Linked DNA regions of Oryzias latipes. The protein of the gene in region 5 interacts with the protein of the main gene of each other region in a pairwise test. Links are inferred from orthologs where the notes say so. Each region holds a gene or a part of one and is shown on either strand. Other genes may lie near its edges. The genes, in order: sgf29, dcx, sfr1, lmo2, rint1, rbm41 and c4h19orf25.

The links.
Region 1: the proteins of rint1 (region 5) and sgf29 interact in binary tests that used the Homo sapiens proteins (3 or more experiments, as listed by UniProt). The two-hybrid records come from large-scale screens. The link is inferred for Oryzias latipes from reciprocal best matches to the Homo sapiens genes RINT1 and SGF29.
Region 2: the proteins of rint1 (region 5) and dcx interact in binary tests that used the Homo sapiens proteins (3 or more experiments, as listed by UniProt). The two-hybrid records come from large-scale screens. The link is inferred for Oryzias latipes from reciprocal best matches to the Homo sapiens genes RINT1 and DCX.
Region 3: the proteins of rint1 (region 5) and sfr1 interact in binary tests that used the Homo sapiens proteins (3 or more experiments, as listed by UniProt). The two-hybrid records come from large-scale screens. The link is inferred for Oryzias latipes from reciprocal best matches to the Homo sapiens genes RINT1 and SFR1.
Region 4: the proteins of rint1 (region 5) and lmo2 interact in binary tests that used the Homo sapiens proteins (3 or more experiments, as listed by UniProt). The two-hybrid records come from large-scale screens. The link is inferred for Oryzias latipes from reciprocal best matches to the Homo sapiens genes RINT1 and LMO2.
Region 6: the proteins of rint1 (region 5) and rbm41 interact in binary tests that used the Homo sapiens proteins (3 or more experiments, as listed by UniProt). The two-hybrid records come from large-scale screens. The link is inferred for Oryzias latipes from reciprocal best matches to the Homo sapiens genes RINT1 and RBM41.
Region 7: the proteins of rint1 (region 5) and c4h19orf25 interact in binary tests that used the Homo sapiens proteins (3 or more experiments, as listed by UniProt). The link is inferred for Oryzias latipes from reciprocal best matches to the Homo sapiens genes RINT1 and C19orf25.

What each region holds. Positions count from the first base shown.
Region 1 is NC_019866.2:654,406-658,380, reverse strand, and holds the start of sgf29 (SAGA-associated factor 29), read right to left. Parts: upstream 2,801-3,975; 5' UTR 2,682-2,800; exon of another isoform or gene 2,457-2,681; intron 2,307-2,456; 5' UTR 2,300-2,306; coding exon 2,234-2,299; intron 110-2,233; coding exon 34-109; intron 1-33. UniProt on the Homo sapiens protein: Chromatin reader component of some histone acetyltransferase (HAT) SAGA-type complexes like the TFTC-HAT, ATAC or STAGA complexes.
Region 2 is NC_019872.2:14,750,330-14,753,829, forward strand, and holds part of dcx (neuronal migration protein doublecortin), read right to left. Parts: intron 3,395-3,500; 5' UTR 3,333-3,394; coding exon 2,969-3,332; intron 1,905-2,968; coding exon 1,564-1,904; intron 1-1,563. UniProt on the Homo sapiens protein: Microtubule-associated protein required for initial steps of neuronal dispersion and cortex lamination during cerebral cortex development. May act by competing with the putative neuronal protein kinase DCLK1 in binding to a target protein.
Region 3 is NC_019873.2:20,002,453-20,006,426, forward strand, and holds sfr1 (swi5-dependent recombination DNA repair protein 1 homolog), read left to right. Parts: upstream 1-1,229; 5' UTR 1,230-1,484; coding exon 1,485-1,565; intron 1,566-2,054; coding exon 2,055-2,363; intron 2,364-2,441; coding exon 2,442-2,630; 3' UTR 2,631-2,794; coding exon of another isoform or gene 2,795-2,967; 3' UTR 2,968-3,059; coding exon of another isoform or gene 3,060-3,213; 3' UTR 3,214-3,292; coding exon of another isoform or gene 3,293-3,373; 3' UTR 3,374-3,474; downstream 3,475-3,974. Other genes in the region: cfap43 (cilia- and flagella-associated protein 43), read right to left, coding at 2,795-2,967, 3,060-3,213, 3,293-3,373. UniProt on the Homo sapiens protein: Component of the SWI5-SFR1 complex, a complex required for double-strand break repair via homologous recombination. Acts as a transcriptional modulator for ESR1.
Region 4 is NC_019864.2:14,855,688-14,859,914, reverse strand, and holds the start of lmo2 (rhombotin-2), read left to right. Parts: upstream 1-1,427; 5' UTR 1,428-1,893; coding exon 1,894-1,934; intron 1,935-3,256; coding exon 3,257-3,472; intron 3,473-3,650; coding exon 3,651-3,876; 3' UTR 3,877-4,227. UniProt on the Homo sapiens protein: Acts with TAL1/SCL to regulate red blood cell development. Also acts with LDB1 to maintain erythroid precursors in an immature state.
Region 5 is NC_019881.2:11,295,945-11,299,444, reverse strand, and holds part of rint1 (RAD50-interacting protein 1), read right to left. Parts: intron 2,432-3,500; coding exon 2,257-2,431; intron 1,936-2,256; coding exon 1,825-1,935; intron 659-1,824; coding exon 433-658; intron 1-432. UniProt on the Homo sapiens protein: Involved in regulation of membrane traffic between the Golgi and the endoplasmic reticulum (ER); the function is proposed to depend on its association in the NRZ complex which is believed to play a role in SNARE assembly at the ER.
Region 6 is NC_019872.2:28,310,418-28,313,917, reverse strand, and holds the end of rbm41 (RNA-binding protein 41), read left to right. Parts: intron 1-331; coding exon 332-479; intron 480-3,156; coding exon 3,157-3,275; 3' UTR 3,276-3,307; downstream 3,308-3,500. UniProt on the Homo sapiens protein: May bind RNA.
Region 7 is NC_019862.2:22,306,367-22,309,831, forward strand, and holds c4h19orf25 (UPF0449 protein C19orf25 homolog), read left to right. Parts: upstream 1-1,241; 5' UTR 1,242-1,400; intron 1,401-2,064; 5' UTR 2,065-2,087; coding exon 2,088-2,229; intron 2,230-2,340; coding exon 2,341-2,522; 3' UTR 2,523-2,965; downstream 2,966-3,465.

The DNA.
Region 1 (3,975 bases), on a different chromosome or scaffold from region 5:
GAAGCGCTCAGAGCCTGGTCCGGCTGCTCTTACTTTTGTTCTCTGTCTGCATCCTCTCGTGGGTTTTCTGTATGTTGAGCAGGTTGTGTTCGCTGCGAGACCGCTCCTCCTGAAAACACAAACATCACAGGAGCGCCAAGGTCCAAAACCGTTTCAGAGGAACACCGGTTCTTCTCCAAAGCCCGGAGCCGTTTTAAAAAAAAACTTTATTTGTATTAGTTTTTGTTACATGAAAACAAAAAACAAAGGTCAATTCTAGGTGCTTCTTGTTTCTATTTGTTGTAAAGTGTTTCAGTGTCATCGTGCCTCCTGCAGTCTCAGTCTGTATCTTATAGTTTCTGTTGAATAGAAGTGGTTCTTCGTTAAAGTCCATTGCTCCTTTGATCGATTTAGTGCTCCAGTTCCTGGTTAATGATTTTTTAGCGGCTAGTGACAGAACTTTAAGTATTTGTCACTTTGGTGGACAGAGTTTCCAGAGATCATGTCCAAAAAAAACAGTTCTGGTTCCAGAGGAATTGGATATCCCACCCAGCATCACACATAAATCCATGAGACTGGTCCACATTCACACCAACAGCTCTGACTTGTTTTTAACTGTTTGTTTTTCAGTTTAGGTGTAATAAAAAATCCTATAAGGTTCTCCGGGCGAACTGTCTCCATGTTCATGATCCAGTGATGGGATGTTGGTGTCTCCACGTCTAACCAGTCCTGCTCAGTTATCTTTATGTTGAATTCTTTTTCAGTATTGCTGCTTTTTCCACATCTATACTTCAGAGAACTGTTCTTCTACGTTCTCTTTGGCCTCTTTTTCCAAGATTCAAGTTTTATTGCCGTTTGCACATGCGGTACATCGGAATTTTTCTTTGGCATCTCTCATGTCAGGATAAGTTAAAAAAGGACAAAAGAAAAATTTGAAGAAGAAATAATAAAGAAAATAAAAATAAATAGAATAAAGTTAAAAGTCAAAATTAGACAACAAATTTACATGGTGTATAAAAATATAAATATCAGTAAAATATGATAATGAATATTGCAGAGACCCAATCTGTACAGTAGCATTATTGCACATAGAATTATTGCACATATTATTGTTTATTGCACTTAGTAATTTAGTCCAGTCTTTCCTCTCTGGTGTCATTTGCCAGCATTCTGATTGCTGTTGGGAAGAAGCTGTTGTGGAAGCGTGTGGCGTGTTCATGGATGCTTTCAGGCCTGCGACGCCTGAGGTTGTGCCCTAAGTCCACACACTGGATCAGTCCATGAGCAGGGTGGTGTCTGTCTCTGATGATCTTAGTCACTCTCCTCCTGCAGCTCTGTTTGTAGATGGTGTCCATGGATGGTAGGTTGCAACCTATAATTTTTCCAGCTGTATTAATGACTCTCTGCAGCATCTTCTTCTCTTTGAAGGTGGTGTTACCGAACCAGGCTGTTAGTCCGCTGGTGAGGATGCTTTCCGCTTTCAGTTATATGCAAGCTTCTCCTGATGTTATCGTGTGTCTGCAGACTCTTCATGAATCCTGTCTGGTCTTCATCAAGAAGGTCAGGTAGAAATGTATTTATCCTGATACAAATGATGGATGTATAGATTTAGTAATCTATAATTAGCACATGACTGTTTGTTTTCCCCGGTTTTAAGATAACTGAAATAATTGCTTCTGACCAGGAAATAAGGATTTTATTCTTTGGAGGGTCCAGTTCAGAGATCTGTGTAAAAATGGAATAAGTGTGTTTTTAAATGTTTTATAACATTCAGCTAGGAAGCCGTTGCTGCCTGGTGATTTATTGTTTTCAGAGTGTTTATGGTTTTTAATATTTCCTCTTTTGTATTTTCAGCTGTGAGTATTTTTTAATAAATGGTAGATCTATATTTTTCAAAAAGTTTCTTTGATCTTGGTCACACGCTTAGAGAGGCTGGTTGTCCAGTTTTCTGGAGCAGGTTTGTTAGAAGAAACACAGAAACAGTCTGAACTGTAGAATATACCTCTCAGTTGCTGCCAGCACTTGTACCAGAACCAGGGAACCGGTTTAGGACTGATACTGGTTTCTGATCAGATCTACAGGTGATTCACAAACCCAACAGCTTCCCTTTAATCTGGAGTTACCTGAGGCTTTCATCAAGTCTACAGCCTCAACATCTCCTTGAGTGTCCAAATCATGCAGACCTGCGTTTGTTTACCTTCTCCAGGTGTCTGATGACGTCAGCTGTCGGAGCACGGCGGTTTTTAAGGCTCACCTGTGTCTGTTTGATGAGCTGATGGAGCTCCGTTAGCAGCTCTGCGATCTTCGTGTCTGCAGACATCTCTCACCTGTAAAAAAAAATAAAGGAAGAAAAAAACCTCACCTAAAAACGCGGCTGACACACAATTATCAATATTTGTTTAAATCTCTACAGGATGAACGATTATTATGCGAGAGTCTCAGATAAAACTGCATTTTCCGTTAAAATGGACACTTACGTTATTTGAAATCGAAAATGGACCAGAATAAATCCTAAAAATAAAAAAAAATCCTAAACGACTACGTCACACTTAGCATCGAAGCGTTAGCTGTGCTCGTTTGCAGCTATTTCCCCCCTAAATTAATTAAATTATTCCAAAGTTTATAAATAATTAACTTCGTCATTAAGTTTAGAAACACAAAAATGTCTAAATTATTGAAAAGATTCTGTCATTTAAACTCACCGTCAGCGATCGGTTTCTGTTTACTGTAGATATGCTAACTGCGGATTAGCCTCAGCTTCTTCTTCGTTGTTGAGGGTTCCCTGACTGACGCGCAGACGCCCCCACCTGCTGGTCAGACGTGGTACTGCACGCGCTCGAACGAGCTTCTCCCTCATTTGTTCTGGCTCACATGACCAGTTTAGAAATTGATTATATAGTTTCAAAGTGGAAATAACATTTTAAGTATTTTAAGTGATTGTATGCATTTATGTGATTCTCTATATATATATATTTTATATACATTATTGACTCCTGGCCTGAGGTTTCTTTAGTTTCTGGAACAGACACCTGCAGAATGCAGACTAGACTTACATCCTTGAATGACATAAGAGTCTTATGACCCATTTAGTATGTTTACATGTTGTCTTTCTGCTTTGGAGAAGAGAGAGGGCGGAGAACGACGAAGCGTCAAATAGTTTTCAGTTGTTCAGGTGGATCTAGACGGGTCATGTGATGGAAATGTCAACAATGATCATCAGAAAGGTGGATAGGGTCCCATGACTTGATCCTTGTCTAACAGGTGGGGGCTGTTAGTTTATTGTTGGTATATGGCTTGGCCATGTCATGAGAGTGGATGCAGGCTGCATCCCTAAAGACCTCTATGGCGAGCTGGTCAAAGGCTATAGAACAAGAGGGCGTCCAAAACAAAAACGTCTGGAGGACACGAGGCGGCGCTTCATTGAACCCAACACATGGGAAAGTCCAGCAGACGATCGCCCCATCTGGAGACTCAGTCAGGCAGGGAACAACAGATGCAGAGGCCAAGCGGAACGAGAATGCTGCACAGAGAAGAACCAGGAGGAAGCGGCGGCTGCAAGAGCCATCATCCTTCACCTGTACCAGGTGTGGCAGGGACTGCCATTCCACAATCTACCTGCACAGCCATTCCCGGCGGTGCAGGTAGATTCAACAAGGAGCTACACCATCGTCTCTCCAGACGGACGGCTGCAGACGATGGACGGATTCTCCAAGAAGACATTTTTTCACAGGATGCAGAATGAAAATCACATGTGATTTTACTACAAAGCGTTTGATGTGAAGATCAGAAACGGATCAGGAATCGGACCAACCAGCAGTTTCCTCAGACCGCCATTAAAATGTGGTTTACAGACCGTCCCCTCATTCTGTGAATGCAGACTCATGAGTCTAGTTATGGAGGACGGCGTCATCGTTTTATTCAGGGACCCCCCCAGTGACAGACAGACAGCAGTTCATTTAAAAAACACCTTTAATAGTAAAAAATGAAAAAGACTTT
Region 2 (3,500 bases), on a different chromosome or scaffold from region 5:
GCAAAATGAACAATGACAAAGCATTGTGTGCTTTTAGCCTAGTTCACTTGCTGAAAAAGAGCTCCGTCAATGAAATTATCCAAAAGTCATTTTCTACATGTATGTTATTTCCAACATTAAGCAACAGCTCTTACCCTATGCCACAACATTTACTTTAAATCTGAACTCCAAGTCTGCTGTGGCTGCCAAAACTTGCCAAAAATTAAACAAAGAATTGGAGCGTCTACACTCAGTTACCGCTTTATTAGGCACACCTGTCCAACTGCTCGTTAACACAAATTTTGAATCAGCCAATCACATGGGAGCAACTCATTGCATTTATGCATGTAGACACGGTTAAGATGATCTGCTGCAGTTTATACAAAGCTTAAGAATAGGGAAGAAAAGTGATTTAAGTGACTGAAACTGGCATGGTTGTTGGTGCCAAACAGCCTGTTCTGAATATTTCAGAAACTGCTGATCTACTGGGATTTTCACCCACAACCATCTCTAGGGTTTACAGAGAATGGTCACAAAAAAAAAGAGAAAATAACCTGTTAGCAGCAGTTCTGTGGGCAGAAATGCCGTATTGATGACAGAGGTCAGAGGAGAATCGTCAGACTGGTTCCAGCTGATAGAAAGACAACAGTAACTCAAATAACCACTGATTACAACTGAACTCTGCAGAAGAGCATCTCTGAATACACAACATGTCCAACCTTGAAATGGGCTGCAGCAGAAGACCACACCAGGGTCTCACTTCTGACAGCTAAGAACCAGAAACTGAGGCTACAATTCACACAGGCTCATTGGACAAACGTTGCCTGATCTGATGAGTATTTTTCCTGACCAAGCCCATCCCTTTATGACCCCAGTGTACCATCTTCTGATGGCTACTTCCAGCAGGATAACACGCCATGTCATAAAGCTGGAATTATCTCAGACTGGTTTCTTGAACATGACAATGAGTTCACTGTCTTCAAATGACCTCCAGTAGTGAGATGTGGTGGAACGGAAGATTGGCGTCATGGATGTGCAGACAACAAATTTGTAGCAACTGTGTGATGCAAGTTAAACATGTCTATTAGCTAAACACCCAAAAAAGTGTTTAACTTTACATGTAGGTCCAGCTATGCAGTTAAATGCCTACAGTGTCAAACAGCCAAAGAAGTGATTGATGTCCAGAACCACAAGAGACTCCTGTTGCAGTCTCAAAGGATGTAGACAATGAGATTTTCATGAACAAAGGTGTCTCAACAGTGTTCCCATTGACCTGCCACATCACTGTTGACTGAGGTTAACAGCAAACAGCGGCTCCTTTTTTACATATGTGGCCTTTTCCCTTTGCATTTACAGGTACCTAGTTTTCCATTTATTCTAATACTTGCCTGTCCTTTGTCCAGTAATCATTTATGAATTGTCCACAATCCCAGCAACATTTTTCCTTTGAAGCTGTTATGTTTACATGCTGTTTAAACCCAGCTTTATTTCCGTCTCCAAATAACAAAAAAAGCCTTTTAAATATAACCAAATCGATCAGCAGCTTCACACATCTTTCACCATGATTTGACAGGTAGGACTTACCTGTTTACCATCCAGTGTGTAGATCCTCTTGACTGCACCACTTTCAAGCTTGATGGCCTCTGTGATGTCAGTGAGCACCTGCTCAAAGGAGTGCGCCGTCTTCTTGTTGAGCAGGACACGGACAGCTTTGCGTGGCTTGACGCCGCTGCGCATCACTGTGACCAGCTTGGGCCGAACAAACTCCTTGTTTTCTCTGGGCTCGCTGGCAGCCTTGGCTGCTAAAGACTGCATGTTCTTCTGGCTTGCTGAGGCCTTCACATTCACAGACCAGTTGGGGTTGACATTCTTTGTGTAATCGACTTTCTTATAGAAGTTCTCTGAAGCACAAACATAGCTCTCCCCTGTGGTAAACATAATGGGTTAGTGTTGTAACTCAATCAGCTATTTGACACCAGAAACACTAAGCAACTTTTGACCTTTGGAGATACCAGTTAACCCAGAAGGGAAAAGAATTTTTATTTTATTTTATTTTTTTAATTAAATTTTATTACATTTTTTATTCTTCAAACTAAAATCGATTTTGCCTACAAAGTAGTTTTCAGTACAATAATAGGTTCAGATAAACCCAACCATTTTTGTTCCTTTGTTCAAAAAGTTTGTTCTCTCAGTAGTAGGCAGTGAAAGATTATAGATCATGGTACGTACACACAGGGCATGTGTGCGCTGAACAGGCATTCTTGAACATGCTTTAAGCATATCCTGTTCACACAGCTCTGTTGCAACCCAATACTCGCACATGTACTCACAGTTGGAAGAGACTTTGCGCAAAATATCGACGCTGTGCAAGTCTTGCTTCAGGTTTTTTCTTTCACAGCTCAATTCCGACATATGACAGACTGTCGTATAATTCCAGTCAAGCACAAACTGTAATTATTAATTTCTCCTCCATGATCGATTTTCAACCAATTGGCCGTTCTGTGTTTTGAAAAGAATCGTACTCGTACATCATCACCAAGTGCATCACTACTTAAAAACATAAGCAGTGACATGTGAACACTAGAGTTTTGAACGTGGAAGCTCAAAACGTGCATGTGCGTGAGTTTTTCATAAACTTCATTGGAAGCAGTTGCTCAAAAGCGCATTTCCAAGCCTGGTGTGAACGTAGCATCAAGAATAGATGTAAAATCTAGTACCTAATCACTTTGTTGGCTAGATACAGCTTTACAAATAACTTCATTGCATGCAAGTTTGTACTTTATGTTTTTCAGCATCATAGTTAATAAAGAACTATTCAAAAAAAATAATTCAACAAGCTAAGTCAACTCTTCAAACACTGCAAGAGAATTTTTGGCTGCTGAAACGGCTCCAAACAGAATAACTCAAAACCTTACAGTCCCATTTACGATACAAGAGTCTTTGAACAGATAATGTAAAAAACGTTTGTGTTCCATTGCAAAGTGCTAACCTTCTTCCAGCTCATCCAGGGTAGAGATCTTGCGGGATCCATCGATAGTAAAGATGAACCGGACGCCTTGTGGTAAATTGATGTGGTCAGAGAGGGAGCGCGTGAGGTCGGCAAGGAGAGAGTCAAAGGAGCGAAACCGGTCACTGGCCACGGCGTACACGATGCCCTTAAAGTAGCGGTCACCGTTGCGGTAGAAGCGCACCTTTTTGGCCTTCTTCTCATTGGTGAGAGCCTGCAGGGTGCGTGTGCGGTAAAAGCTGCAGTGGGCGCTGTGGGTTGGACTGGGAAGACCATTCATCCGGCCACCTCGAGGTGTACGAGAGGCCTTGTCCCTCTCATCAAAATGGCCAAAGTCTAACTCCATGATGGCTGACAGCTGTGATGGTTTAGACAGATGTGAGGCAGTGAAGAGCAGCGCCAGAGAGTCTGCAAGACGAATGAAATATTTAACAAAAATGTTATTTACTTAAGCTAGTTACTGATAATTACACATCTTCGTACATTAGAGTACCCTTTTTCATTATGTGCAGAA
Region 3 (3,974 bases), on a different chromosome or scaffold from region 5:
ATGCCACGGTTAATGCCGACTTCACAAAGCAAAAATTACACGCAAAAAACATTAACTTACACAAATAGCAATTACCCTTCCCTCAGTTGTCCTTACAAGGAGTATTAAAAAAAATCTCTTGTTCCCTGGGGTGTGTAATATCACACTGCCAAATGAGTTGCTAATGTTCGTGTCCGGGCACAACCACATTTGAAGGTATAACAGCTTTCTCCTCGTGGCTATAAAGGCTGACACACAATAAGAGAACCATCCCACATTTGTGAGAAGATTAAAATAGCTATAGACTTATAAAACCGATGAATCAGCTAATGAGGGAAGGTGAATCACAACATGAATCAACTCCAGATAACCACCACACAAAAAAATCTCTTTAACAATATTCTGAATTTTGGAGCAAAACACTCTTTCCCATTGCTATGGTAGTTGTTTTGCCTGACTTGATTATTAAACTACTTAAATTATAATTATTTAAATGTGTCTTATGTAAACACAAATAGTTTACCAACAATTTTTTAATTTTATTAAAAATATGTATTGATCAAATTTCATAAGAAGAAACAAGCTACTTAATCCCATGTGTGAAAAAACTTCCTTTGTGTTTTTTTATAAAAAAATGTTGTTTTCTCCATGAAGCAATTCATCAAAAAAAGAAAATTCTGTTCATTAACATATTTTTACAGGGCAATAGACATGACATTCAAATAAATAAATAAAAACTGTTCCTTCAAACTAACAATTTGTGCACACAAATTCGAATTTTTTTATTGCGTTCACACAAATTTGCATCTCGTGACCAAAATTTTGCTTTTTATTAACATTTTGTAGGCAAAAGTTACTGTTTTGTGAACACAAATAATTCAAATTACTGTACTAGCCAAATTTGTTGGCTTAGAAATTGTGTGTGCACAAATTAGCAGGCTATTATGTAGGCCTATGAATTAATTAGAATTTTGTGCCAACAAATAAGTATACTGTGGACACAGAATGCTTATAAATTACAAATTAATTGCCCAAAAAAATGCTAAATTGTGTGCACACAAAAAAATTTAAGGCCACATATTATTTTGTTTCTCTTTTTTTCATATTTTTTTTATATATATGTACATTTAAATATGATGTTTAAGTAAAATTATTCCATCTTAAAGCCAACAAGTTAAATGTGCGACTGCGTTTGAGGAATAACTTCATATCCCAGAATCCTCTTCGGCTAAACGTAATCAGTTTCTGTCCAATCATTGATCTTCAGGACTTAGAACCGCAAAAATACGGAAAAACAAGATCAACTGTGGTGTCATCGCCTCAGCTTAATTTTTCCACATGGAAATGTCTTTGATAAAAATTCAATATGGTTTATAATACTTTGTTATAGTGCCTCTAATTTTTTTCGTTCTTATTTCAGCCGAGTCAGATATATTGAGCGTTTTCTCAACTTTAAGCTAGGCTATTCTCGCAGCTAAACAGACTTTTCATGCTAAATCTGACGGATGGAAGTCACTCCAAAACACGAGTATTCATCACCCTGCTGCCCAGAAGAGTCGACCCCCTCGGGATACAGAGAAGAGAAAGTAGGTGACTGAATGGGATGTGTGGTGCACTACATACGACGTAGTGTTAGGTCCACCATGAAAGAAAAAGTCTAAAGAGACGCCGAGGGGAAAATTTTACGGCAATAAAGTTATGCAATTATGAGTAAAAAAAATAGCTCTTAAGTTGTAAATTTATGCTTCAAAAAGTCTACATCTTATAAGTAAAAAGTCACGCGTGTTGAAATTAAAATGTTACATTTTAGATTTTTTAAATCATGTCATAGCGAATTAATCGATTTTTTTTTGTAAATGTACAACTTTATTTTCGAAAAAGTACGACTTTTTCATGTAAATGTATAATTTTTTTAAATCATAATTTTACATATTTTTTAGTTATATAATGTAGATTTTTTTTTTCTAATATTTGTATGACTTTATTCTTGTAAAATGTTAACTTTTTTCTCTTTTTATGCTGGCCTTAATACTCCATCTGTGATTTTTTTTTCTTTTCCCCTCGTATCATCCTAGTGTTTTTCAAAGCTCAGCACTTCGCTGAGGGAAAGATTGAAAAGATCCAGACGCTCCTTTGTTTCTCCTGTCTCTGTGGCCAAACGCCTTTGTGTGGACGATGCAGAGGATGAAGGGCCACACATGTCAGCAGACTCCAAGGAGGCTGTCAGGCAGCCTGCAGAAATCCCACTCAATGACAACAAAAGGGAAGCCCAGTCAGGCAGTGAGCAGACGCCTGAAGCTTTTTTACAGCACCTCAGGAAAGAAGTCAAAGAAAAAACAGAGACTCTACGTCGACTCAAGATGGTAAAGATGTACAGAAGCAAGGTACCAGCCATTTTTCAAACATCTTCAGGGGATCACCGTTTTGCTTTGCCGTAACACTTTTCTGGTCTTTCCCCCTAGAATGATTTAACCCAGCTTCAAACTTTGATCGACAAGTGGAGGCGTTGCTCCCAGAACGCGCTGTATGAACTCCAGTCAGATGTCACTGTGGACGGACGAAGGGCGAATCTGTCTGAGCTTATAGACCTCTTTGGTTTGGACGATCACTTTCTGCACTTTGACCGCCCGGAGGAGGACTTCACTACTTAACATGTTTTTTTTTTTGTTTCTGTTTTTTTTTATTTTACGACTTAAGTACCAGCAGATTAAGTGGTTCTTAATCACTTTATTTGTTGCAGGTTCTTCACAGCAAAAGCACATTTAATGTACAGAGAACTTTTTGCTCAGTTAAGAAACAAAAAAAAATGTTTCACTCAGCTGTATTTCAGCTGATAGACTGAAGTGAAGTTCTTCTTCGTTAGACGTTCAACTTCCGCTAAAAGGACTGTCAGTTCCTCAGCCTGAGCTTTGACTAGAGCCTTCAAGTTGCTTTTCACAGCAAGCTCCAGGTGCCGCTCTTTGGCTTTTGCTTGCTCTTGTTCAGGGCCTAAACAACCAAAATAAAAGCAGATAAATATTTATGCTTGTCTGGGATGACGGAATCGGCGTTTGGCGAATGTTTGTCGATCAGAAACCAACCTGCAGCTTCAGAGACGTGTCTCAGCTGCGCCACGTCCACCCGTATGTCAGGAAGCTGCAGCTCCAGAGTAGAAGTCTTTTTGCTTTTCACGTCAGCTTGTTTATAAAGCTGCTCGATTTCCTTCACACACTGCTGGATGCACTGTTGATGAGCCTGAAAAAGTAAACAGAGTTGTTCATAAAAAAAGCATAAAAAGGCTGGTTTATCGTTGCTTTGTCACTTTTCATGTCACCTCCGTCATGAAAGCAAGGTTTTTCTCCAACATGGACGCTTTCTGTGAAATGCGAGTGCCTTGTTCTGACTCGCTGTAACGCTGGAAATAAAAAAAGAGAAACGCATTAATTAAAAACAGTGTTTCATACATTTTTGCTTCTCCCTTCTTCTCAAATGTTCAATAAAGGCTTTTGAAACACATGCAGCAAAGCTATTTGTCATGCAATGTAAAACCTCACTCTGCCTAGATCTATCTACATTCAAAATTTCTCTCATGGGGTTCAAACAATGTCAGGAAGGCGAACGCTGCACAGCTGCTGAGCTACCTGTACCTGCTGCCAAAGAAAACTGGCAATGCAGCCTGGAAACTTACCATTTTACCCTCTGGGTTGTTAAAAAATAAAGCCAAAAATTAGTTAGTTGGTCTGTTTTTGTGTTTGTCCTCAAACTTTCAAAACTATTTTTAACTTTTAGACTGTGTCCAAAAGCTACATATCGTCAAATAAATTGTCTTATATTTGATTAAACAAACCAATCTGTCAGATTTTGAAAAAATGATATAAAAGAAAGTGACATGCCTACTGAAAGAGGTTTAAGTTCAGCAAATGAAGGGGGAAAAAACCCTGAGTCAATTAAAAAGGGTGTGAGTCTCCTATAAAAGATCATTCATCTGCACTGGGAGATGGGAACAATTTTCTGTT
Region 4 (4,227 bases), on a different chromosome or scaffold from region 5:
CTTGAAATATGTTTAATTTGGCAAAGTGTCAAATTATATATTCTATTATGTGAAACAACAAGTTTTAGTTAATTCTGTGTTTGCGACAGTGCCATACATTATCTCACCCATCAGGGACAGAGAGGCAACAGTCAATTGAACTGATCCATTTAAAACTTTAAGAAACCTCATGTTTTAGTCTCCGTTAGTCTGTTAAATTAGTTTAGCAGTGATGTTTTTCTGTGGACTCACATGTTTGCTTATATGTTTTTCAACAGTTCCTAGGAAAGCTAAATGTCAAATGCTTTGACATTTGTCAAATGCTCTTAGTCTTTCACAACCTCTTGTAGTGAAAGAGATCAAGTTAATAGTAGTAATAAAAAGTTAGCTTTTTCTGGGGTGTTTTTTTTTGTGTGTCTCTTTCGGGGTCACGGGGCTGCCGGAGCCTATCCCGGCCACTTGTGGGCAAAGGCAGGGGACATCTTTATATGCGCTGGCCTTTATTAAATAAATAAATATAAATAAATATAAATATAAATCCTGGACAGGTCGCCAGTCAGTTGCAGGGCCTCAATCACACACTCACACCTAGGGGCAATTTAGAGTAACCAATGAAATGTTTATGATGTGGGAGGAAGCCGGAGTCCGGAGAGAAAACCCACGCATGCATGGGAAAAACATGCAAACTCCACACAGAAAGGTCCCCCATTGGTGTTCTGTTTCAGGTCCCCCAGCCGGGACTTGAACTGGGGGCCCTTCTTGCTGCAACCAAGAGCACTAACCACTGTTCCCCCCCAAAAGGGTAGTTACAGTTCTGATAAATTTATTTTCATCTTTATGTTACCCTCACTTAATCAAAAATATAATATAGTAAAGTAACTCAGATGGTCTGGCAATTGTTTTTTCTTTAATGTCATAACCAGGGCTCTGTAGATCAGCTTCTCTGCAGCAAGATCTTGTTCTCCTGTTTTTCCAATTCTGTACAGTAATGATGCCACATTTATTTAACACAACATTAACCGAATAGGGGATAATTCCGATAAAGCAAAAAATAAAGTTCAGAAAAAATATGGTTTTGAGATAAAATATGACACATGTAAACATCTGATTCTATATAGCAAATTACACCTTTAATCCACATTTTATACTAAATTGAATGAAAATATATTATGAATTGTCACCCCCCCCCCCCCCCATTTCACACATTATATATTAAACATTTTAATAAACAGTTCAAACTGTTTGTTGGGTTTTTTCACTATTTACTTTCTATTGAACTGTTTTTCGTTTTGGATCCAGCTCTCTGTTCTGTCCTAATAACTTTCTCTACATGATGATGGAGCTGCGGGCCAGGACACTTGTCTGCTGACATCACGACGTTGGTTATCTTTGCTCCATCAGCGCCTCAGGGGGAGAGAATTTCCCCTCACGTCAGTGTCGGTCACGACTCCGCTCCACGCCTGACAGAGCAGCCGGCGCGAACTTCTGTCGCTTTAAGACCGATTTCCCCCCATTGTCAGGCAGTCGTGAACAGGAAAAAGAGCAGTCAGTCACAGAATGGGGTGGGGGGTCATCCGCACGTTTAAGGCAGCTCCAGTCTAACCCCCCCTGGCCTGTGAGCGAATCCGCGGTGTCCTGGATGGCGTGGAGGTGCCAGCGCGCGCGTCAGCCCCAGGAAATGATGACAGCGTCCTCCATCGCCGCTCTGCTGACTAGAACAATCGGCCTTTTTGGTTATTCCTCCGCGAACATCTCGACTGAAGTCATCTTCCTGAATCAGGTCGTGCAGGGGGGATCTGGGCGCCGGTAGAGGCAGGTGCAGCGGCTGCGCAGGAGCTTCCCGGGACGCCGCAGAGAGACTAGAGGCTGTGGAGTCCGAACCCCGGAGCTGAGGCGCAGCGCATCTGGAGAAGAATGGTATCCACCATAGAGAGGAAGACGCTGGAGGCCAGCGAGTATGTGCTTTCCTTTTCCAAAGAATGAAGCTCAGGGTTCCTTAAGGCTTTCAAGGACATTGTCATCACAATTTAGAAAGCAACCAAACGGCACGTTATTTTAGGAAAGCAACCTCTGCAGTTAGATTCCACAAACAGAAGGTCTGGAATATGCAAAAGGCTTAGTAAAAAAACTAATCTTCAGGAAAAAACACACTAGACAGCAGTACAATTAACTATGCAGAACGTTAGTTTTACTTAAGAAATCTTATAGCAAAAAACATAATAAAATAAAATCTTGAAACAAGAAGTTCCACAGTAGCATTCTAAAAGGGGGAAAAATGGGTTAAAAAATCTAACTATTAGAGAGAATTACTGAAAACTGATTGTTTTAAAGCCCAATAAGTATTTTTTGTCATAGTTTGAGGCAAATGGTTTGTATTTTTTTTAAACTAATTGCAGTTCATCTTAATTGCAGTGCCAAAAAAACGAGTGTAATAAATGGAAATGACTTATTTTAGAACAAAATGTGAACAAAACCAGAATACGATCTAGCACATTTACTTAGAACATAAATCTAAATGTTTGTTTTGAAATTTAATGACAATAAATGGCAGTCTACATTTAATAAACTAAAAAATAACATCCTAACTGAACCATAAAACACAACAATTTCAGTGCATTTGAGTCATATATTAAGTTTTTATTCTGTTAAGATTTGGAGCAAAATGATTTTGACTCAATTTATTAATAATTTCCTTATTTCTACATACTAGTTCCTAATGAGACATAGGAATGTTTTCCACTGTACAGATTTTAAGAAAATCTTGGAAAGGTGTAGAGCAAAAGACAAATAAAAACAATTTCCAACCAGTTAAAATATCTTGAAAGTCTAAAACCAAGGTTTACAATCAAGTATCTATAAGTATCCCATAGTTTGTAGTGTGAGAAAGGGGAGCAAACAATCTTGTAACAGTACAAAAAAACAAATTGTATTGTATACACTTTCCAAATGTATTAATTTAGTATTTTAATCTGAAATATGCTCCTTCTCCAACCTTGCAGCTCCAAGCTACAAGACAAAAACATAAATAGTAGCATAAACCTTTGCAAATCAGTTGATAAAGATAGAATTTATCGGGGCACTAATAATGACATTTTATAGAATATGTTACTTTCAAAAGAAAATTGTATCAATTGGATAAAATGTGTTTGTTTTTTTTGAGCTAAGAGGAAAATCAAATTAAATTACAATAAATGAAGACTATGATCGATCTTCAGGGAATTCATAGATGATGAAAGTTCAATCCAGTTGTTTTTAATCTTCTTTTCATTTATATCAGGGAGCCGGTGGACGAAGTCCTGCAAATGCCCCCCTCCCTGCTGACATGTGGAGGTTGTCAGCAGAACATCGGGGACAGGTTCTTCCTGAAAGCCATCGAGCAATACTGGCACGAGGACTGCCTGAGCTGCGACCTGTGCGGCTGTCGTCTCGGAGAGGTGGGCCGTCGCCTCTACTACAAGTTGGGAAGAAAACTATGTCGACGGGATTATCTGAGGTTGGTCTGATGTCAATGATTATCTGTTTATTCCCTTATTTGAACAATTTATAAGAAGTATGCAGATCTAATGGGATATTAGGGGAGCACTGTCTTTTATTCTGGTGAGTCAGTTGAATGGAGATGCTGGAATGTCTTCTTGTAACATTGTCTTCCTTATCGATCATGCTCCACTCAGGCTGTTTGGTCAGGACGGTCTGTGTGCTTCCTGTGAAAAGAGGATCCGGGCGTTTGAGATGACTATGCGTGTGCGAGACAAGGTCTACCATCTGGAGTGTTTCAAATGCGCCGCCTGCCAGAAGCACTTCTGTGTGGGTGATCGCTACCTTCTCATCAACTCGGACATTGTCTGTGAGCAGGACATCTTCGAGTGGACTAAGCTCAACAACAGCAATATGGTGTAGCAGAATCTCTGACTGCTTTTCAGGATGGGATGGAACAAACCAATATCGCGTGGGCTCTGAACAGAATCCCTTTTTGCAGCCCGTATGGGTTTTATCGACCAACACATCGGGACTACAATGAACACAATGTAGTGTTGCACCATCCTGTGGAAATAACAACACCAGCAATACGAAAATATTCCCAAATGCAAAAAACGTTTTAAGTACGAAAAATTCTTAAATATGCAAAGAATAGTTTTGAACTTTGTAGAAAAAACAAAACAAACTTTGTTTTAAGGTTGTAAGTTGTTTTTGTCAGGCCTTCATATCTACAAGTGGATTCAAAACTTTAATTAGAAACTGGGTTGTAAT
Region 5 (3,500 bases):
ATTCTTTTTTTGTTTTTTATAGTGAAACAAAACTGATTTCAAAATAGAAATAAAAAAATTAAAGTAAACGTTTTTAAACTGAATCTGAATTGAAATAGTGAAATTTGTCTTTTTGCTTTTACTTTAATCTGTTTTAATCGTTTCATTTCCAAACCAGTTTTTCCTTTAAAAAAAGTGTTTTAGAGTTTAAAACTACACAAAAGTGGAACTACAATGATTATAATCAGCATTATATCCATTTAGAAAAACCAAGATTTATTTGCTGCAATATTTGAAGAAAAAGCATCAAATCAATGTTGATATTGTTTTAAATCTATATTGCATCCTGTCTTTAGATAAATTACAACTTAAAGTATTTTGCATTTCAGGTCACTGTGATCTTTTTTCAGGCTGCTCCAGCCACCGTTTAGTCAGGAACACCTGAGAACTCACTCTTCTTCTCCACAGCGAGCCACTTCTGCAGGACGGCGTCCTCCAGCAGGATGTGCAGCAGTCCAGGGAGGGCAGAGGGGTAGGAATGACTGCCTCGAAGCTCCTTCTCAAACTGCAGCACCTCCTCCACCAGGTGGCAGAAGAGGGCATCATCATACAGGATTCTGGGAGCATCAGCAGCCACCTTCTCCTGGACCAGAGACACCAGGCCGCGACACAACTCCACCTGCAAACACACACGCACACAGGTTAGAGTGCACACAAACACACACAGGAGTACACCCGCATACATACAAGTGTGTATGTCCACACACCAACGAAGTTCTTTATACACACACACAGGTGTGCAGACACACAAATACCGGTGAACACACACAGGTGACACCAGGCCGCAACACAACTCCACCTGCAAACACCCACTTACACACACAGGTTAGATAACACATATTTATGCAAAGGACTGCACACACAAACACCCACACATAGAAGTGTTTTTTCCCAAAACATAAACGAAGGTCTGTACACACACAGCAGTGCAGACTCACAAACACAGGTTCACACACACAGGTAGTTGGCACACATTCATACACGCAAGTGAGTATGCACAAAAACTCAAGTCAGATGCACACAAACAAAGGTGCATGCACACGCAGGTGTATGCACACACACACACCGGTGTTAACACACACAGGTGCACCCCAACACATTCAGGTGCACACACACAAAAACACACACACACACACACAAACACAAAAAAACCTAGGTGCAAAAACACACACACACACAGGTGTTTTCCCATACAAACACACGCAAGTGAGTACACACACGCGTGTGCACACAGAAACGCTCTCACAGGTGAGGTTTAGCTTAATATTACTAGGTGAGAGAAGTGAACTGTGTGAGTTTTTGTGTTTCACAAAAGCTCAGTCACATCTACAGGTGATCCACACAAAAGCGACAGACAAACCCACAAGCACAACAATCAGCAGCATTCATGAACACACAAAGCACACACAGCTGAAACAACAGGGCGACATTGTACAGTTTTAACCTGCTTTACAAACCAAAAACCAACAAATAGGCCTCACCTTTACTTAACAAAGAGCTAAAAGCCAGAAAGACTCCTAACACTCAGAAACTCTAACCTAAAATCCAGTCAGTTTTCTCTTCAAAAATGTTCATGCTGCATTTTATGCTCCAACACAAACAGGAGACTGAAGACAACCATGAAAATGTACTAAAATGTAATAATATTAACAAGACAACAAAGACAGACGTATGGTAGCATTATTGTTCCTGCAGTAATTTTGACTGTTCAAGTTGAATCATCTCACTGACTGAGGATAAAAGCAACATCTTCATGAACGTGTCTCTGTTTGGGGAACTTCGTACCCTGGCGCTGATGGCGGCTCCGGCTCGGTCAAACACGGGTTGGATCTTCTCCTCCATGAAGGCTGCGCTGCTGCCCATCCAGATCAGAGCCTGTGTGAGGTACCATTCTGGCTGAGGAGGGACACAAACACAGTACGAGGTTTTTACAACTTTCAATTTGAACCAATGAACACCCTCGCCCTGTCTAGAAGGAGACCCCCCCCACCCCACCCCCCGCCCTGTATGACTGAACTCTTTTCTGCCACTTGCATTAGCGTCCCTCATAAATGAAACCCCATTGACACGATGGGTTGAATATTTACAGACTCGTGCTCTTTTCCTGGGAGCTGACGTCTTTTGGAAGCTCTCTCTGTTATTCATCTCCCGTCTCCGTTAAATCTGCTCTGGGTGGTGTGTGAACACAATCCCAGCAGGAGGTTTTAGTGCAGATACCTTGTTGAGGGAGTTCGTCTGCCGGTTTCCATAGAAGTGGTATCGGAACCTCTTGCAGATTGGCAGCAGCATGATCTGAACAGGCAGACAGACGGAGACGGCCAGAGGTGGAGGTGGAGGTGGAGACGAGACCTGCACAGGCTGGTGAGAGGTTCTCTGCGAAATGAAGTCGTCACTGCGGTGAAAGTTAAAGAAACGAGCCGGACAATCCTGATCTTTCAAGTGACAACCTTTATGACGATCAACACGTCTCCTAACTGACTAAATGCAAACATAAAACCGTATTTGGTGGGTGTCCATTTTTAAGGAGAAGGCAGGCGTGTAAAGTTGTAGTAACTACAGAGGAATAAAACTGAAAAGTTACGAGAAAACGTAGGGCTGAAATGCGTCTTTGCAGATGTAGAGAAAGTCTACGACAGGATCTACAGAGAGGATTTCCATGAGGAAGTCTCGAGGGACAGAAGAATGTTAGGGTCGTGCAAGACAGCGGTGAGATGTTCTGTAGGTGTTACAAAGGACTTAAGGAGGAGGTGTAAGGGCACCATCTTCGTGTTTCCATGGTGATGTAAACCATGGACTGGACCACCGCCAGAATCCATCTTAAGCTGGAGCCACATCTATCACACAACACATCCCAGTTCATATAAGCAGAAACACCCCCGGCTCAGAACCACCAGCTTCACAGTCAGATATCTCTGTCACATTCACACCTTACCGGATAAAAAAGATGAAAAAGTCCATCTGCAGTCACACATAATTTTCACCTTTGCTGTTTAAAACATTTGCTCTCTTTTAAATAAATCTTTTATTGTGAATGAGCTCATCTTAGATAACAACTTAGATTGCCTTTTTTTTACTGAAACCTGGCTTGGTACTGATGCTCCTGTTGTTCTCACTGAGGCTTCCCCACTAAAATTTACTTTTTATTTTCTACCAGGGGAGATAAAAACAGGGGGCACACTAATTACCTATGGTCTGTAGTGTGTCCTCTGTTGTTGACATGCCTGTTTCAGATCACTATTGCGTATTCTTTAATATCACTAGTTTTACTCGACATGAAGCTCCAGAGAGAACTGTGAGGAAACGATACATAACTCCTGATGTGGCTGCAAATTTGATCAATATTTTACACCAAACTCCCGCTCAGATTTTACCTGCATTGTATGATTGAACATTTTAACAACAAACTACAGTCAGACATTGATGCTGTAATTCCACCTGAGTCAAAGACGGTGAAAACTAAA
Region 6 (3,500 bases), on a different chromosome or scaffold from region 5:
GCTTTGCAGATTTCTAGATCAAATGTTGACTTTCATCTGATTGGTTCGTTCTTTGATGACCTCAAACTGTGGTTTCTGCTGGAAAGTCAGTGTCACTGGATTCAAACAACTCTGCAAAAAGGGAAACAAATTTCCTCCACACACCTCAAAAACTCTGGAGTTTGTTTGCAAAGACCGACTCGAGGAATTTTAGCGATAGATTTGAAATATGCAACTTTTAAAAGCTTCTAATTCTACAAACTTTAAAGTGACGCAGTCAAAAAAAAAGAGGTGGTTCTGCAGGTTTGAGATGGAAACGTGAGCAGATTAAGAGCTTGGGTTTTGGTTGCAGGTTCTGTGTGTGAAAAACGTCAGCACACATGCATCGCTGGCCCAGCTGGTGGCGCTGTTCTCCAGATTTGAGAAGAAAGACGCCGCGCCAATCCTTTACCGCCTGCTGACGGGTCGGATGAAAGGTCAAGCTTTCGTCACTCTGCCAGGTGAGCGTCTGCGGCGAGCGTCGGTCGGGTGACTTCCCCGCCAGAGCTGCAGAGGCAGAAACCAAGCTTCACTATGGAAAATGATGCAACAATAGGATGTCAAATACTTTAAATAGGAGTTTGTGGAGCTCCCATTTACTTCAGTAATACACTCTCTCACTGCTTCATTTAGTTTATGATTGGCTCTAACAGTGACGGGAACTACAGAACTTTTCTCCAAAGTTCTTGCTTTTTTCTGCCAGGAGCCCAGTGATGGTGTGAGGTCATGTGGCTCCTCCCTTTAGGGGCGCCACCTCCATCTAACCCTCTCCTCCACATCCATGACCCTCCTCTGTGTTCTTCCTCTCTTTCCCCATCATCCTCCTCCCCGGTCCTCCTCTCAAACCGCCTCCATCTGCTTCCCTGCATGGATTTCCAGAACATCCGTGATCTGTTCCTCTGATGGATTCAAGGATCCATCCTGGTCCCAAACAGAACCTCCGCCTCTTCATCTCCGCCTCCTTTGCTTTGGTCACACCTGAAACCTTCCTGCACCTCCTCACCTCCTTCTGGGCTGTTGATCCTCAGAGTCCTCCACCTCCTCCGCCTCTGCTCGCTGTAACCTCACCATTCCTCTGGCGTTCCTCTCACGCCGTCCCCCAGCGGCTGACCTTCATTCCTCTCCTCTCCGGAGCAAACCTCCACTTTCGGATTCCAGCGTCTGCACATGATGCGATCTTTCCGTGTGCTCTCCTTCCTCCTCCTCCTCCTCCTCCTCACCACTGGCATTTCCATTCATTCAGCAGCGTCCACTACCGTCTGTCATGAACTCCAAACTTCTCCCTCACTTCCTCTTCACCTGTTGCCTTCACTCAGACATCCGTTAAAGTCTGCTCTGGTTCCTGACGCGTCTCCCTGCTTTCACCTGGTCCTGGGGGCCGCTGCATGAAGGTGTTGGACTGTGCCCCCTTGTGGCTGCTTTGTTTGCAGCTCTTTTTTCTTTATTCTGCTAATCCAGTGCTTCTCAATTGATTTTTGCCAAGCCCCCCCCCCCCCCCCCCCCAGGAAAAAGAAAATGTTTCGCGCCCCTCTAACCCGCCACCCCCCCCATAACCTCCCCCCACCACAAACACACACACACACTCGCCGTGGTGACAATATATTAGGTTAGTATCTATAAAAACTGTGTAAGTATACCTAAATTGTATCTTTTAACTAACAAAAGAAAAATCCACTTTCAACAAATATTAAATTTATTTATCCACAGAAACTCTTTTTTAGTCTAAAACAGAAAAGAAGCCTAAAGTGCCTGAAATAAAAAAAATCTGTTATTATTTATTTATTATTATTATTATTAGTTATGTCCTTATTTAAACTGGAAACATTTTGACCAACTGAACTATTTGATGCTGAGAAAATATTTCAGTCAATACAAAATATTAAATGTAAATTGATCTGAATCATGAACACAGCAGCATTAATATATTTAATATTTTTAGTCTGAAAAAAAAGGTTAAAACAATTGTGCTGATTATTTTTCTAAATGATGATTGTTCATTCATGATCTCATAAAGTGCAGCTGTTTTCCTGCATTACCTGCTGTCTTTATGTCAAATACTGACACCAACTAAACCACAGGCAGACAAAGATACATTGATGGAAAATAAAGACACGCCATCAAAATGTCTACAATAGTTCATAAAGAATGAAGTTATTAGAATAAGCTTAGGAATCTAAAGGCACACCATGATCCTGGTGTTGGGCAACAGGCAGTGTTTGCAGCTCTCCACGTGCCCCGTGTCACCTTGCAGCCTTAGCCCACTGCCCCTCCCCTCTCTCTCTCACACACGCGTGTGACAGGAGACGGGAACACGCAGCTGCAGGGACGGGGATTCACAGCTTTCAGGCCGTTACAAACTCTGTGATAGAACAGATAATAGGAAACCAATAGTGGACCAGATTCTTGCCGCTGTCCCCCCCCCCCCCCCCCCCCCCCCATTAAATTTGCGCCCCGTACAATTGCCCGTGTTATCCGTGCATAAAACTGCCACTACTGCGTCCCCCCCCCCCCCCCCCCCCCCGGCATTGCACTGTGCTAATGGATTAGATGCATTAGATGTAAAAAAAACTGAGTCGGACTTCCTGACTTTATAACCAAACTAATTGTCGTGACATCAGTTCACCCACTAGGGGGCCTTTCAGGTTGGCCGTCTGCCTGTAACGGTTGAAATTCACGACAAATCTGGACTTAACTGCAGCCGGATTCCAGAAATTTTCTCCCCTCTGAAGTGAGATGAAACCTCCACCACAGCTGGACCGGCAGGAACGTTTTAGGAACCACTTTTCATTTCAAACCGTAGAATTTCCGTGGCTTTCAGTGGACGGACGGACGGCCCTCTAATCACTCCTTCTAGAACGGCGTTACCAGGCGCGGTCCTGCAACGGTCGGGGGTTTTGTTTGTCCCCTTTCTGAAAGGCGGGGCCACAATGGCGCCAAAGTCCCATCAGTTCATGTCAGGAATCAAACCATTTTTGTCTAAAAGGTTCACAGTGTGAACATTTTAACCCCAAAGCTAATGCAGAAAAACGTCCTTCACTCCGGACCACAGTGACCAGAACCGAGCAGAACTTTCTTGATGTGTGTGACCCTTCCTCGTGACTCAATCGGCGCTCCTCTGTGTTTGTTTTCCCCCGGCAGACACCGAGACAGCCCAGCATGCACTGCACTTGGTCCATGGATACCGGTTGCTAGGGAAACCTTTGGTGGTCGAGTTTGGCCATGAACGACAGGAAGAGAAGACGGAGGAGAAGCAATAAAAACACAAAAAGGAAATATTTCAACATGTTAAGCAGTTTTCACTGTTTTATCTTCTATTATGACTCAAATATCATTTGTGGTGGTGGGGGGGGGGGGTCCTATGGATGACTTTATCTGTGAATAAATGTTTTTAAAGAAATGATTTTGTTATTTTTCTGTGTATTTATGAAAGCATCTTTCTACATTTACATTCAGGAAATTCCCTCAATAACAAACTTGTCTTT
Region 7 (3,465 bases), on a different chromosome or scaffold from region 5:
GAAACTTGTTAAAGATCACCATCTACCTTAAGGATGTAGAGAATCTCTGTTGTTACATTTTTACTTGTTCCATCTTGATGAAAACAATCTTAGAATTCAAAACGTTCTGATTAAAACAAAACTATGTGAACTCTGTCCTTTTGAAGTGTTGTTTTTGTTGCTGCTTACAGGTTTTTGTTGCAGAATGTTGTCAAAATCGAACATTTTTCAGAAATGTTTTGTTTCTTTAGATATTGCAGAGTACGACACACTTTTAAGGTGGGTGTGATCTCTAGATGTTTTTGTCTTGCTTACGTGATTTGAGAAGAAATTCAAATTCTGCATGTAGTTATTTGTGCTGCAAAAAGTGTCTGGTTCAAATCCCAGCTTTCTTCTTTTGTTGTGGAGTTGCAGCATTTTTCTGAGCATAGGATTGAGTGTGGCAGCCTAAATGAACCCCTCAACATTTCCAGGTTATTTGCCCCCCTCCCAAACCAAAGGAAGCTGGGATAGGCTCCAGCCCCCTCAATGACTCACCACAGGATAAAGCTGGACAAGGAGATAGATGAATATTTCATTTGTCTACCTTATCTGGCCTATTTAATTTCTTTTCAAATCCAGGATTCAGAGCAAATAAATGTTTACTTTTTATTCACCAATATTTTCACGCAAGTGCAACTTAAAAAAAAGTCTTTGTACTTGCTCACTTTTTTTGAAATGAAGAGGAATTAAATGAATAATAAAGAGGAATTAAATGAATAAAAAATTAAATGACCCTTAGAATTGCTTTATCTGCTGTTTTTTATTTGGCCTCAGGACTTTTTCTTTTATGGGGGTAATCTTTAGCACCACCCGCAGATCGTTTTGTAGTTTGCCAGTTTGCTACATTAGCTTGCTAAATTTGAAGTTTCGCAAAAAGGTTTCAATCTAAAACTACATTTCAAATTATTTATGAAATATACTAAATATACTAAATATAAACTACAAACTATGTGAACTTTATTGTGACATTAATACTTTTCCTTACTGACTTCATCTTTCTGTTTATTATTTCAATTAAATTTACCAACATGAATCATATTATTTATTTATTTATTTATTTATTTATTTATTTATTTATTTATTTATTTATTTATTTATTTATTTATTTATTTATTTATTTATTTATTTATTTATATAACAAAAAAGCTCAGTTCTTGGTGCAGGTGCCACTCCAAACCTGAAGGGGGAGACAATGCACCTCAAGGATGGTTGGCACCGGATGTCAGTTTGCGAGAGCCTGCGCATGCGCTGGGGGTGCTCACTGTTGACGTGACGCGTTCATGTTCGGCTCTTGTTGATATTTGTGCACATATCACGCCAGTTTTGAGACCCAAGATGCAGTTGAGGGACCGAAATTGACAACAGTTGCATCCGTCTCGGTAAGGCTTTAAAATCTTTACTTTTGAAACTAATCCCGAGTTTGTTTTAGACCATTTTTCTGATACAACTAAAACCTCTTACAAAATGCATAACGTATAACTTTACGCCATTCTTTTCTTATTAAAAATGTAAATGTTTTGAAAATATCGACTGAGAAACTTTTTCATCGTTGTGGTTCTTAAACGTGTCTTTCAGATTAATTACTCGTCGCTGTTTATATTTGTCAGCAGATTAGCCTAATGCTGGTTTCCCTGTATCTGAAATTAAATCCTTAAAAATATTTTCGAAGTTTTAATATGCAAAAACTTGCAGAACTTTCTCAGTTCTTTCTGCAATTTTAAACACTGTTTCGGCTGTGAACGATTTCTGGCTGCTATTTAGCCTCATCACATCACTAAAAACCTATCTGGTGGCTCCACACTGATGAATAAATGAATGGACGAACTTTATTAATCCCAACAATGGGAAACTCAGTTCCAGTACCTCTGCAGCTCTTTAAGAAGAATAAGCACAAATAAAGAAATGCTACATGTTTAAATTAATTATCTACAGACTTATTGATACTAAGCAGATCATAAAAGAAATTTCTGATTAATGCAGAGGTTCTGTATAAATGTACATTTTGAGGGTATTTCTTGCAGAACATCTTGGTTTGTATTTCAGAAGTTGGAGTCAGTTTTGTTGTAATGAACCTCGGATCGAAAGGCAAAAAACGGGTGGTGCTGCCCACCCGCCCCGAACCCCCCAGTGTGGATCAGATCCTGGAGGACATCAGCAGAGCAGCTCCAAATGACCCAGTCTTCAGCATCTTGGAGAAAACTGGAGAAGGCGAGTCTTTGTCCCCCAAAATAAAGTTGACCACTTTATTTTGCCTGCGAATGATGGGACTTTGATTTTAATGTTTGAGTGAATGTTTGTTGTGTGCTTTTCGGCCTCTAGATCCGACCCTGCCTGCAGACAGCGAGGTGGAGTTCAGGTTCCAGCAGTGCCGGCAGTATCTGAAGCTCAATGAGAGCCTGAAACATGCTCAGGGTCAGCTCCAGACGCAGAGGGGGGAGCTGCAGGCGGCAGGGGAGCGGCTGGACAGCAAGGTGGCTGAGGTCAAAGGCCAAGTTCTATAATCCCGAACTGAATACTGAACTGTTACTGCGGTGCCAACAAGCTGAAAATGAGTGGTTTGGAATGGGAAAGTCATTATCAGTTCAAGAAATGAATCAATCTTGAAGAGTAACTGGAAAAAGGGAAATGTTCCTTAGGCTGAATCGCGACTTTCTGCATCCCTTCTCCAGTCGCAGAGGAATTCAGCTGTGTCAGTGTGTACTTGTTTGGGCTGCTATATTCATAAAGCTGATATGAGCTTTTTTTTTTTGTTTTTTTAATATATTAACCCAGGTTCTCAACAATTGTTTTCAAGTGAATGTACAGAAGGTTTAGGGTTTTCATTTCTGTTTTATTTAATCTACTTGTAGTAATTTTTCTGAACACAAGAAAACAGAATCTACTTTTTGATTTTTAATGCTATCGTGTTAAAACAGAGACAAGAAATAAAAATGGAACTAATTAATTTGTAGATATTTTATTCATTTATTTTGAAAAAATTTGTTTTTATAAAACATTTTGTAGAACAATCTGTGTTTTCATGGAAACACCTTTACAGAAGCCTTCTAGAACCTTATAGTTGTTTGGGTTGGAGAAGAAATGGTGTAAAAAAAAAAGTAACCTGGGTGTTTGATAAAATAAAAGCCCAACACAATGGTTTTAAGAAAACACCACTTTTATTAGATGATGGCATTTATAATGACACAACCTGTCTTTTTCAAATGAGTGACCAATGTGGCCTGGTACACTTACAGGTGGGAATTTGACTCGGCTACAAACTTTGATCCCGTCCTGTCTTGAACGAGGCAGTTAACAGCGGCGGTGAAGAGCTGCAGACGTTTGTTAATCTATTTGTCATGACAAGTTCAAGCTGCTAAAGTGTTGCTTTTACTCACGTTTGTCCATTTACAGTCATTTTACTGCATCTGCTGAGGAAGAAACAGCTCAGACGGATGTTTTAGACAT